2 linked regions of the Schizosaccharomyces pombe genome follow. The gene in region 1 interacts genetically with each later gene. Each region holds a gene or a part of one and is shown on either strand. Other genes may lie near its edges. The genes, in order: git11 and gpa2.

Region 1 (3,781 bases):
CATTTCGCTTGCAAACAACGTCTCAGGGAAGGGTCTAAATCTGACAAAGCATTGAACTCTTCATTTCTTTCAAGCTCTTGAATCAGACGTTTATGATCCCAGCACGCTAGTGCACAAAGTGAGATATACACTGAAATGTCAGTTTTTGTAATAATACCATCAGAGGTATCAGTTTCAACTTTTAAAAAATGAGCCAGGGCCTCTTCGTAATCACCCAAGCAAAAGTTGGCCAATCCACAGTATGCATAAATAGGACTAGTTAGCTCCATGGCTGCACTAACAGTAGACTTGGCGCGAGACCCGAAGGCTAGTACATGAGAATAATTACCAATCCAAATAGAAATTCTCATTAACTCTAAGGATAAATGAGCAATTTGTCCAGCATTTGTACAATATTCGCGAACTTTGGCATATGATCTTAAAGCACTATCAAACTGGCCCACATCAGCAAAAAAAGAAGCTAAATCTAGTTGTGCCGCCTAAAGTTGTTAGAATTGTAACAAAGGATGTAATAAAAAGTCTGTGAAGCAAAAAGTTATCTTGTAGCTCATACTCTTATAGATTCTCGTATTAAGTTGTTTTTATAGGCTTTTAGTTCCCTTCTTAATTGTTCTAGATTTTGTTTCCTATGAAAAGTAACGCTTTCAACCCATTCTACGTCCAGCTGCTCGTTTTCGAAGCAATCTTGAAACTCCTCGAATAGAGACTGGTACAACTCTAGATTATATGTCTTTTCTTTCAATTCTTTAATGGCATAATGAACACAAAAACTTCTTAACGGCTTAGAATTACGGGCGACAAACAGCGCGCGAAATATTTTGGACCATACTATGAAACTGTGAATAAAAGAATGACTTGCAAAAATGCATCAATTGAAAAACTCTTACCACCATATTCATCCAGATATCTCTTTAATTCTTCCTGATTGACTAGTAGATTTAAGCTCATAATAGAAAACTCGTAACTAGTCGGAACACTGTAGGTTATAGAATTGGCCAACTGGTTATAGGCCAGTGACGAGTACCAGATGTATAAAAGCTATAATAAGATGGTGATTTTTTCAAGTCGAAGATGTATGTAGTTAATTAGTTCTACTTTACGGAAACGAGAAAAACATATCATATTGATTTTATTTCTTTCCCCAAATTTCCAAGCAAAATCGCATCTAAAGTTAGGATATGAGTTTACTATTAATATGAGATACCAAGATTAGAACCCCATGTATTCAATAATAAAAATAAAAAATATGAAAATTGTTGCAAATATCTTTTAACTATTCCCTTGAAACAATGCTCAACTCTAATTAAAGCATTTCCTAATTGAGATTTAAAAAATAAACGAACAAATCTATAGCCAAAGAATTGTTGAAGTCTAAATAAAAAATAATAAATTTTCTTTTAAAAAAAAAGGAAACTTAAGGTGGTTGAATTTACTAATCTACTTCGAGTTATAGGAAGTTTGGTTATGTAACTTCTTTACTTAGAAAATAAGACAACGATAGTAAAGAAATTTACGAGCAGAATTCATAATTTCGTTTTAAAAATCCAATCAACATAAAGTATCTACTTTGTCCTCCCAATGACAAAATCTTTGTATCTGTCACAAGTTTATTGTTTATATGTTTTCGCATTAACAATTATTTTGTTAAGAGAAGTGTAATATATGCGTATTCTACTTGGAAAGAACAAACTAAAGAGATAAAAAAATCCTGAAAGTGAAAGGCATTTGAGTAGTGTCAAATTTACAATTGGAAAACTGCTATTCTATTTTTTTTCCTCTTTTTATATTAGGGAATATAAGGTTAAACAACATAATCAAATAACGATACTTAGTGCGCTTAGAAGCACACCTACATATATGTATGATGAAATGGTCAGGCAAGGCTATAATTTTACTTAACAGGCATTACTTATTGAAATTGTAGTTGATCGGTCCTTAAACAAATGGAAACAGAGGCTTTATTGAATGAAAAAATATCGGTTCAACAAGCAAGACAGGAGTAAGTGTTTTTACAGCAAATTTCATGACGTGAAACAAAAAATGCTTGATTTGATCTCAAAGTTTGAAAAGTTGCTAACTGAACTTTAGATTTGCTAATTATGCAAATAATATACCGGAACCAATGATGGTATCGGTTGCTCCGCCTAAAGCAAATCCGTCAGTCAGTTCGAAGACAAAGCAGCAGCAGCATTTTAAGCCTGGTAAAGCGACGAAGGATAAGGCCACTACCAAATGCTGTACTATTTCCTAATGTTTTGTGGAACGTTGTTTAAGCATCTTACGTGCACTTCCTACCGTCTGTGCTCACCTAGTAATTAACATGAAAGGAGCATTTATTGTCTATTCCTATACCAATCATTAGGATGAGTGATTTATCAGATTGGTAAATTTGTTATTTATACTCTTTATTTTATTTCGTACTATTTCGATTTTACCATAATTATTCTTTTGGACCTTAGTTATCGGAATGGCAATTCGTCAAATAACCGACACAGTGGACCATTTTCTCCTAACTTAATAATTTTCTAATACTGATTCAATCGTTATTTATTCATATAAAATACAATTTTTTGACGAGACTTTCTCATTATCTGAATTTGTTATTCTTTGTTTTCTTCAAAGCAAACAAAACAGCGCTCAGGATAAAAGGTTATGTTCGGGGGATTGTTAACTATTCTATTTTTTTTTGGTTTATTTATATATTTAAAAATTCTAATCTCTTATAACACTTGAAGCTAATAGGATTTATATTTCCTTACTAGCAAATGAATGTAAACTAACTACAGGAAATTCATATGGCCGACTATAGTTGTTTACCTACCCATTTGGTTAATTTTTCCTTAAATATATTTTTTTTTTTTTTTTTTTTTTTTTAGTTTTGGCTTGAATTTTAGTTTACATCAATTCAATAAACATATTCATATCGCAAACCAACAGGTGTGATTAATTCCTAAGGGTCGACAAATAGGCGTTATATGTTTTCTATTTTATTTTTTTTATATGAAAGGAGGAATTTTTAGTATGGACATTTACTTGTTTGTATACTAAACTATTCAAATCTTCAATAATAAAAAGAGCTTATATAATTAGTTGTATATATAAAATTACCTGTGTTACCAGGTAAGCAAGAAGGTCGGGTAGCATAGTTGGTTATTGCGCACGACTGTTAATCGTGAGGTCGAGGGTTCGAGTCCCTCCCTGACCGTATTTTTTTGCATCATGAGCATCTTATACAAAGGATAGACAAACGCACATGGAGTAGTATGTAAAAGCTAAAGTTCGAATTTTGTTGTTGTTTTTGAAATCCATGTCATCATTTTACGGGCGGTTGAATCGCTTTAGGTGTTTACATCGAATTTTGTCAGTGTGCATATGCGTTGTAAATTTGTCAGAAGGTTGTATGATCCGCATACACATTTAATGGATCAATTACAAAGCCGACGAAAAATCAGGGACATTTGTTGTACCTCTTATCAAAAGCGGTAATTTCAAAACACATTATCACTGGAAGGTCCTAAAAAACCAGACGAATCGACAATGCCATAATTTGCGTAGGGTCCGGTATTTGGGATTGAGAGACTTGTCAAACTTTCGGAATTCCGATGTTTTCTTGCTCGTACGTTAAGGAAATGTTGTTGTACTCTATGTGTGTATAGAAAAGTAAATAATAGTTTAACTACAATAATGGGATGGAATCATATTATCATGTATTCTTAGGAAGTTTAGCGCACTAGCCTGTTAGGTAGTGTATTCGAGCCTAGTAGAGGCGGAGTGCCCTATA
Region 2 (5,781 bases), on another chromosome or scaffold:
ACAACAAAAAATAAGAAAGCTAAAACTCTTGAAAAGAAATAAAAGCCACAGCGAAAGAACAGTAGCTGGAAAAACAGTTTCTTTCATCGTTTTCACAATAGATTAGAAAATCAGAAAGTCGGTTGTTCATGATCCACTTTTTTGCACACTGTAAATATAGATATTGGACATATTCTCAACCAACTGGCAAAAGAAAAAAATTAGGAAAAAACAAGATTACTCTATATTTTTTCCGTTGTCTTCTAATATTGACTTAGCTAATGATTGATTTATTCAATTATTTTCTTATAATAATTTTTTGAATTAAATTAACATAGTTTTATTTTAAACTGGGAAGCGCATCTTGCTCATAATTCAAATTATTGCCCTAAAACCAACATGAAACAGATCCGGCAAACTAGTTTCCACAATATATCGGGATATATCAAGATATGCAAGATATATAAGATACACATATATAAGAGATATAAGATACATATTCAATAATTGTCAAGGATACCTATAATCAAGCAAAAATTAAACTTACGCAAATAAGAATTTCATCTTTATAAAAAAAAAAAAACCATCAAAAAACAAAACAATATAAAAACCCTCCCACTACATGTGAATATCTTGGAAGACTTTTTTTTATAACTAGTACATGCTTTTATTAGTATGTAATGAATAAATGAACGAACAACAACGGATTGACTTCAGTACCACATAAACATTACGAAACCTAGCTAATTCTATCTCACCTGAAGATTATTTTATTTTAGCGGGGCAAATGCAGTCCTTCCCGAACCTCCAAGACTAAGTAACCAGCAAGTAACGGCATCAGGATATCTTACCATTCTTACCCATTAAATTTAAGGAACCGAATGAAATTAGGAACGATGAGCAGTTTAACAAAGTCCTCCTTATTTTTTTTGCGTTGAAATGTAGTTTGTAGTGTCAAGCTGCTTTGTGCTATTTATCGAGCAATGAGAAATAGGAGAGGAGTTATGGTAGCAGGGTATACTTAGTAATGTTTTCATGGACCAAGCGGGGGAGGGGCGAAAAGCATGTCTAGTTCGCTGTATTCAGTTTCAAGACCCCATTTCATGTTTAACATTTGTTCTAGATACGCAAAAATCCCTTTTTTCTAGATTGTTTGCAAGTCCCCATGTCTTCTTTTTTTTATACAGCTGAAAAATTTTCCGACTGTCAGGTAAAACTGGTCAGTTGCGAAAACATGCTTTGCTTCATCTTGGTACCCAATCGTCTATGGATTTTTTATATGTTTCTTTCTAGCTTTGTGATAGCTGCCCACGCTTTGCGATCAAGTTAGTTGCCTTATCCCTTGTGCACTTTACTTTCATATCTGAGTAAATAAGTCTCCGTAACTGGAATTGAACTTGGTAAAATTGGGGCTTGAAAATTTAAAATATTATGAAAGTGAACAAACTCAGATTGGGAAAACACTCATTAAACATTGCTTGGAAAGATTGCGCGTTTTTTGGAACACTTCCTTTGGTCATCTTTGCTATCCCGATTGCTTGCATCTTCAGCCATAAACAAGGGACGACTCATTGAGTTACTAGAGTAGTAATAGAGCAGTATAGTTTAGTAGTATAGAAATGCTGGACCAACCAGTTAATGACATATAAACATAAAACATAAAAAACTATTTTGATGAGCGGCGCTTCTCTATGCGATACTTACATAGAATGCAAAGCTCACACAGGTCTCAGCTTACTGCCTGCTCCCCTCGCCCAAGGTCATAATCGAAGAGTAAGACTTACACTCCAATCTTCTTTACTTGAATGATGCTTGTTTGGTGGTATGTGTTGGATCCTTTTCCAATGTTACATTTTCCGAACTGTCCTCTCTACCCCACTCGAAAAATTAAAATCGTAAATGGATGATGCATGACGTAGTGCCTCATAAATACAAATTATACCAGAGTTGCCGTCTGTCTTTTTCGAAATAGTATAGACGAAATCACCGCTCAGGTACCAATCTAACCATAGTTGTTAGCTACTTAAGCTGTTTGAAGCATCAAAACGCTTGCCCTTTTGCTGCTGCTTGTTGGATTTAGGGTAGTGTGAATTGAAAGTAAGGATTTAATTGTACACTCGGTTAGTTGGACAGTAGTAAGAATTGAGATATTTTGCCTCTAATTCTTCTTTCTTCCTTGTACAATTCTTAATTTTTTTCTCGTTCATCGAAAGACGACGAGAAATCAATTTTCACGAGTTTCTCATTTGTCGCTGCATCTCTTCAACTGATTTCAGCCTTTTCTTCTTGCCTTAATCAACCTTGGTATTCACTCGTACTCACTGTGTCAATTAGCTAGCCGGCTAGCTTCCGACCTGCGATCCTTCCTCATTCTCCTCCACCCCCTGCTTTTCGAGGCATCTGGTGAAACTCAAAAAAAAGTTGAAATTGCGATTTAAAGGTCGCCCATAAAGGGGGTTAATCAAACTTTGCGCGTATAGTTTAGTGACTGACTAATCAATATTTTGATTATTGATTCCTATTCTGTAATATCCCCTTTTGACACCCGCACCCTTGTTCCTACTTAATCATACTTGCTACCTCAACTTTTTTTTTAATACTTTTATTTATTTGCGTTTCACTTTTCTTTCTAACTTGCTCTCTTTCCATTTTATTATTTAATCTTTGCTTTAATTGGGAAAAGAACTGGATTGAAGGCTTTTCTTGGAAAGTCCTCGCCTCTCTGCTGCTACACCTTACCTACCTGCGTTTAACCTTCTTACTTTGTTTCATATTTATTTCTCCCATCTTATCCCAAAAACCCGCTAGCTGTCGGATTGAGAAGTTTGGTGTCCTACTACATCCCCGTATTTATATTCTGCAGTAGTGGATTAAAAAAAAATGACGATTTTTAATGGATTATCTGAAAGCGGTGAATCAAAAAAATTGAACAGCAAAATCGAAAAGCAGATTGAAAATGCCTCGAAGAAGGATAAAAAGATTTACAAAGTGTTGCTTTTAGGTACGTAAACTACTCAATGTTGTTGTTGTTGTTCAATAGTTATATATGCTTGGGCAGTCGAGCAAAAAAGCAGAAAAGATTGAGAAAAAAAATAAAGAAACGAAATGAGTGAAACTATTTACGAAACAGAGAAACTGTTTAAGAAATGACAGAAAATGGTTTGTCTAATTGCGTCTACGTTCTCTACTCTTGGTTACCCTTTCCCTTCAATACTCAGTCAGTGAAGGTGACTTTGATAACGTTCTTCTAGTTAACCACTTTTCGTCGTCGTTGCATGTTGTAATCAGTTGCTCTACACTCTTACCGTTTCTCTCCATTGCATAGCACAGATTTTTTGTTTGATTCCTATAGCAAATTTTCCTTCCTTTGTTTCTTACAATCGTCAGTCTAACCATTGTTTTCTAGGTGCCTCCGATAGTGGAAAAAGTACCATCAGTAAGCAAATCAAAATTCTCAACAAAAATGGGTTTAGTCAAGAAGAGATTATGACATTTATTCCGGTGATCCGACGAAACCTGTTGGAATCTGCTAAAACCCTTGTTAAAATTATCGTTCAAAAAGGTATCAACTTGGACCCTTTAGGAACCCACAATTGCGAGATAATCGAAAAATTTAATCCAACTCCTGGTGAGCTTATTAATGCTAATATTGGCCAAGCTATTACTAGTCTTTGGTCAGCCAATAGTGTTAGATCCTGTACATATGGAAATGATTCCGTACTCATTGACTCTGCCCCTTACTTTTTTTCGCGAGCCGATGAAATTTGCAGTCGGCATTATGTCCCTACAATAGATGACATTCTCCGGTCTAGAAATAGTACTCTGGGTATTTCGGAAATATCGTTCACATTGGATCATTTGCAAATTCGAATGTTCGACGTTGGTGGTCAAAGAACCGAACGAAGGAAATGGATTTATTGTTTTGAAAATGTGAATTCAATCATATTTTGTGTTTCCTTAAATGATTATGATAAAAAGCTTTATGAAAGAGCCGCCCCAGAACGCAATCGTTTGGTTGAAAGTATTTCTTTATTCGACTCTATTATAAACAGTCAGTGGTTTATGCATTCTTCTATCATTCTGTTTTTGAACAAATTTGATTTGTTTCGGAAGAAACTGGAACATGTTCCGTTCCAGGATTACTTCCCCCAATATGAAGGTAAAAATTCTGTTAAAAGTATTACCCGGTATATTCTTTGGTTATTTGTGAACCCTTCTATAAATCGGGCTAAGCATAATATATATCCTCACATTACCACCGCTGTAGACACATCTAACATAAAGGTTGTCTTTTCTGCCGTTAAGGAAACAATTCTACAACACAGTCTGAAAGAAGCGGGAATGTTTTAATTTTAATTTGAAGATAAAATTTACCCTACCATTATTCATATGTTAACAGAAGACCTCTTACTGTCTGCATATGTCTAGAGAGTTCTGAAGCCTCCTTGTAAGAATCGCTTCTTTTACATTCGTTTATTTTTTTTTTTTAATATTGTCCGGAGTTTATTACACATGTTCTTTAAAAATATTTTTCCAATATATACATTGGCTGCTGGAATCTGAAATCACCGATTTGTCTGTAAGGAAAAGGATCGATCTCCTTTTCAGTTGTCTCAGAACGTTCACAGATTGCTATTAAATAATCTCTTTAAGATGACCAAGTTATACAGTTCTAGTTGATATAAATATTTTGTCATTTTTGCGAATATCAATTTGCATTTAATTTTTTACTTTAAACGATGCTGCTGGCGAATGCTTTTAAAGTTATTGAATACTTTCTGTTGAACATAGTCTTAAGATTGAGAAAGTAGATCTCCAGTTTTGATTCGAACATCTATCTCTGCTTTCAGAACTATTGCTATCACTTAATGCTGCTATTTATGAGGGTCGTAGAAAATCCGTTTGAGTACTAAGAGACTTTGAGTGGATACATGATTTAATCGCTTTTGTTTTAGTATTTAGTTTTTAATTGTTAGACTACTTGTATAGACTATTTCACTGAATCATCAAAATTGTTGTCTCTCTTTGTTGGCACCAGAGACTGATACTTTTTACCGACTTTCAGTATCTTTTCTTTAATATATTAATTTACTAATCAAAAAAGCTATTGAACACGTGTATTTCTGCCATGTATAATAAAAAGCCGCACTGTTCTGTATACGTATCAATTTGATTAAATTAGATAGTAATACTACTACATAGATATTCGTTACCCACTTTTAGCTTCTACTTTAGTATATCCACCCATCTTTGTGTTACTGCAGGTTTATTTATTTCAATATTTATTTTGTAAAAACAATTAAGTACATTCGTTAACTAATTATGAGAATTATTGCACTTCCTTTGCCAAATCAAAGGGTATTCTTACATTGTTATCCTTCTGAATACCTTGCCAAAAAAGTTACTATTCACGACAAAATTATAAACAGAATTTACAAGTATTGGGACTCCTGGAGTGCTTCAAAAAGCTATACCAAACAAAAGGTTGTGTCTTTGGGAAACCGAATTTTGCATGCAACTCCTTATGAAGAAAATTTTTTAAGGGCGATTGCTCCTGTTAAGAAGCTAAATGATACAGAATTACACCAAACTTTGTATATTGAACATCCTCCAAATTTGGAATCAAGTACTATTTTAGCTGAGTTGAATCGGTCCAAACAATTACAAAAGACCCATACAAATTACCTTATTGGTAATATTATTGGATTACCATTGACTATACCTTTCATTCTCATACCTCTAATACCAAATATTCCGGGTTTTTATCTTTGTTATAGAGCATACTGCAATTTTCGTGCTATT

The links.
Region 2: of git11 (region 1) and gpa2, extra expression of one rescues a mutant of the other (dosage rescue), as found in Schizosaccharomyces pombe (2 studies listed by BioGRID).

What each region holds. Positions count from the first base shown.
Region 1 is NC_003423.3:4,028,612-4,032,392, forward strand, and holds git11 (heterotrimeric G protein gamma subunit Git11), read left to right. Parts: upstream 1-1,885; 5' UTR 1,886-1,943; coding exon 1,944-1,999; intron 2,000-2,088; coding exon 2,089-2,251; 3' UTR 2,252-2,961; downstream 2,962-3,781. Other genes in the region: COP9/signalosome complex subunit Csn1, read right to left, coding at 1-479, 554-828, 888-948. UniProt on the Schizosaccharomyces pombe protein: Gamma subunit of the heterotrimeric guanine nucleotide-binding protein (G protein) involved in glucose-induced cAMP signaling.
Region 2 is NC_003424.3:2,515,394-2,521,174, reverse strand, and holds gpa2 (heterotrimeric G protein alpha-2 subunit Gpa2), read left to right. Parts: upstream 1-1,935; 5' UTR 1,936-2,859; coding exon 2,860-2,980; intron 2,981-3,143; exon of another isoform or gene 3,144-3,385; coding exon 3,386-4,329; 3' UTR 4,330-5,122; downstream 5,123-5,781. Other genes in the region: SPOM_SPAC23H3.12C (hydrogen/potassium transport protein), read left to right, coding at 5,302-5,781. UniProt on the Schizosaccharomyces pombe protein: Alpha subunit of the heterotrimeric guanine nucleotide-binding protein (G protein) involved in glucose-induced cAMP signaling.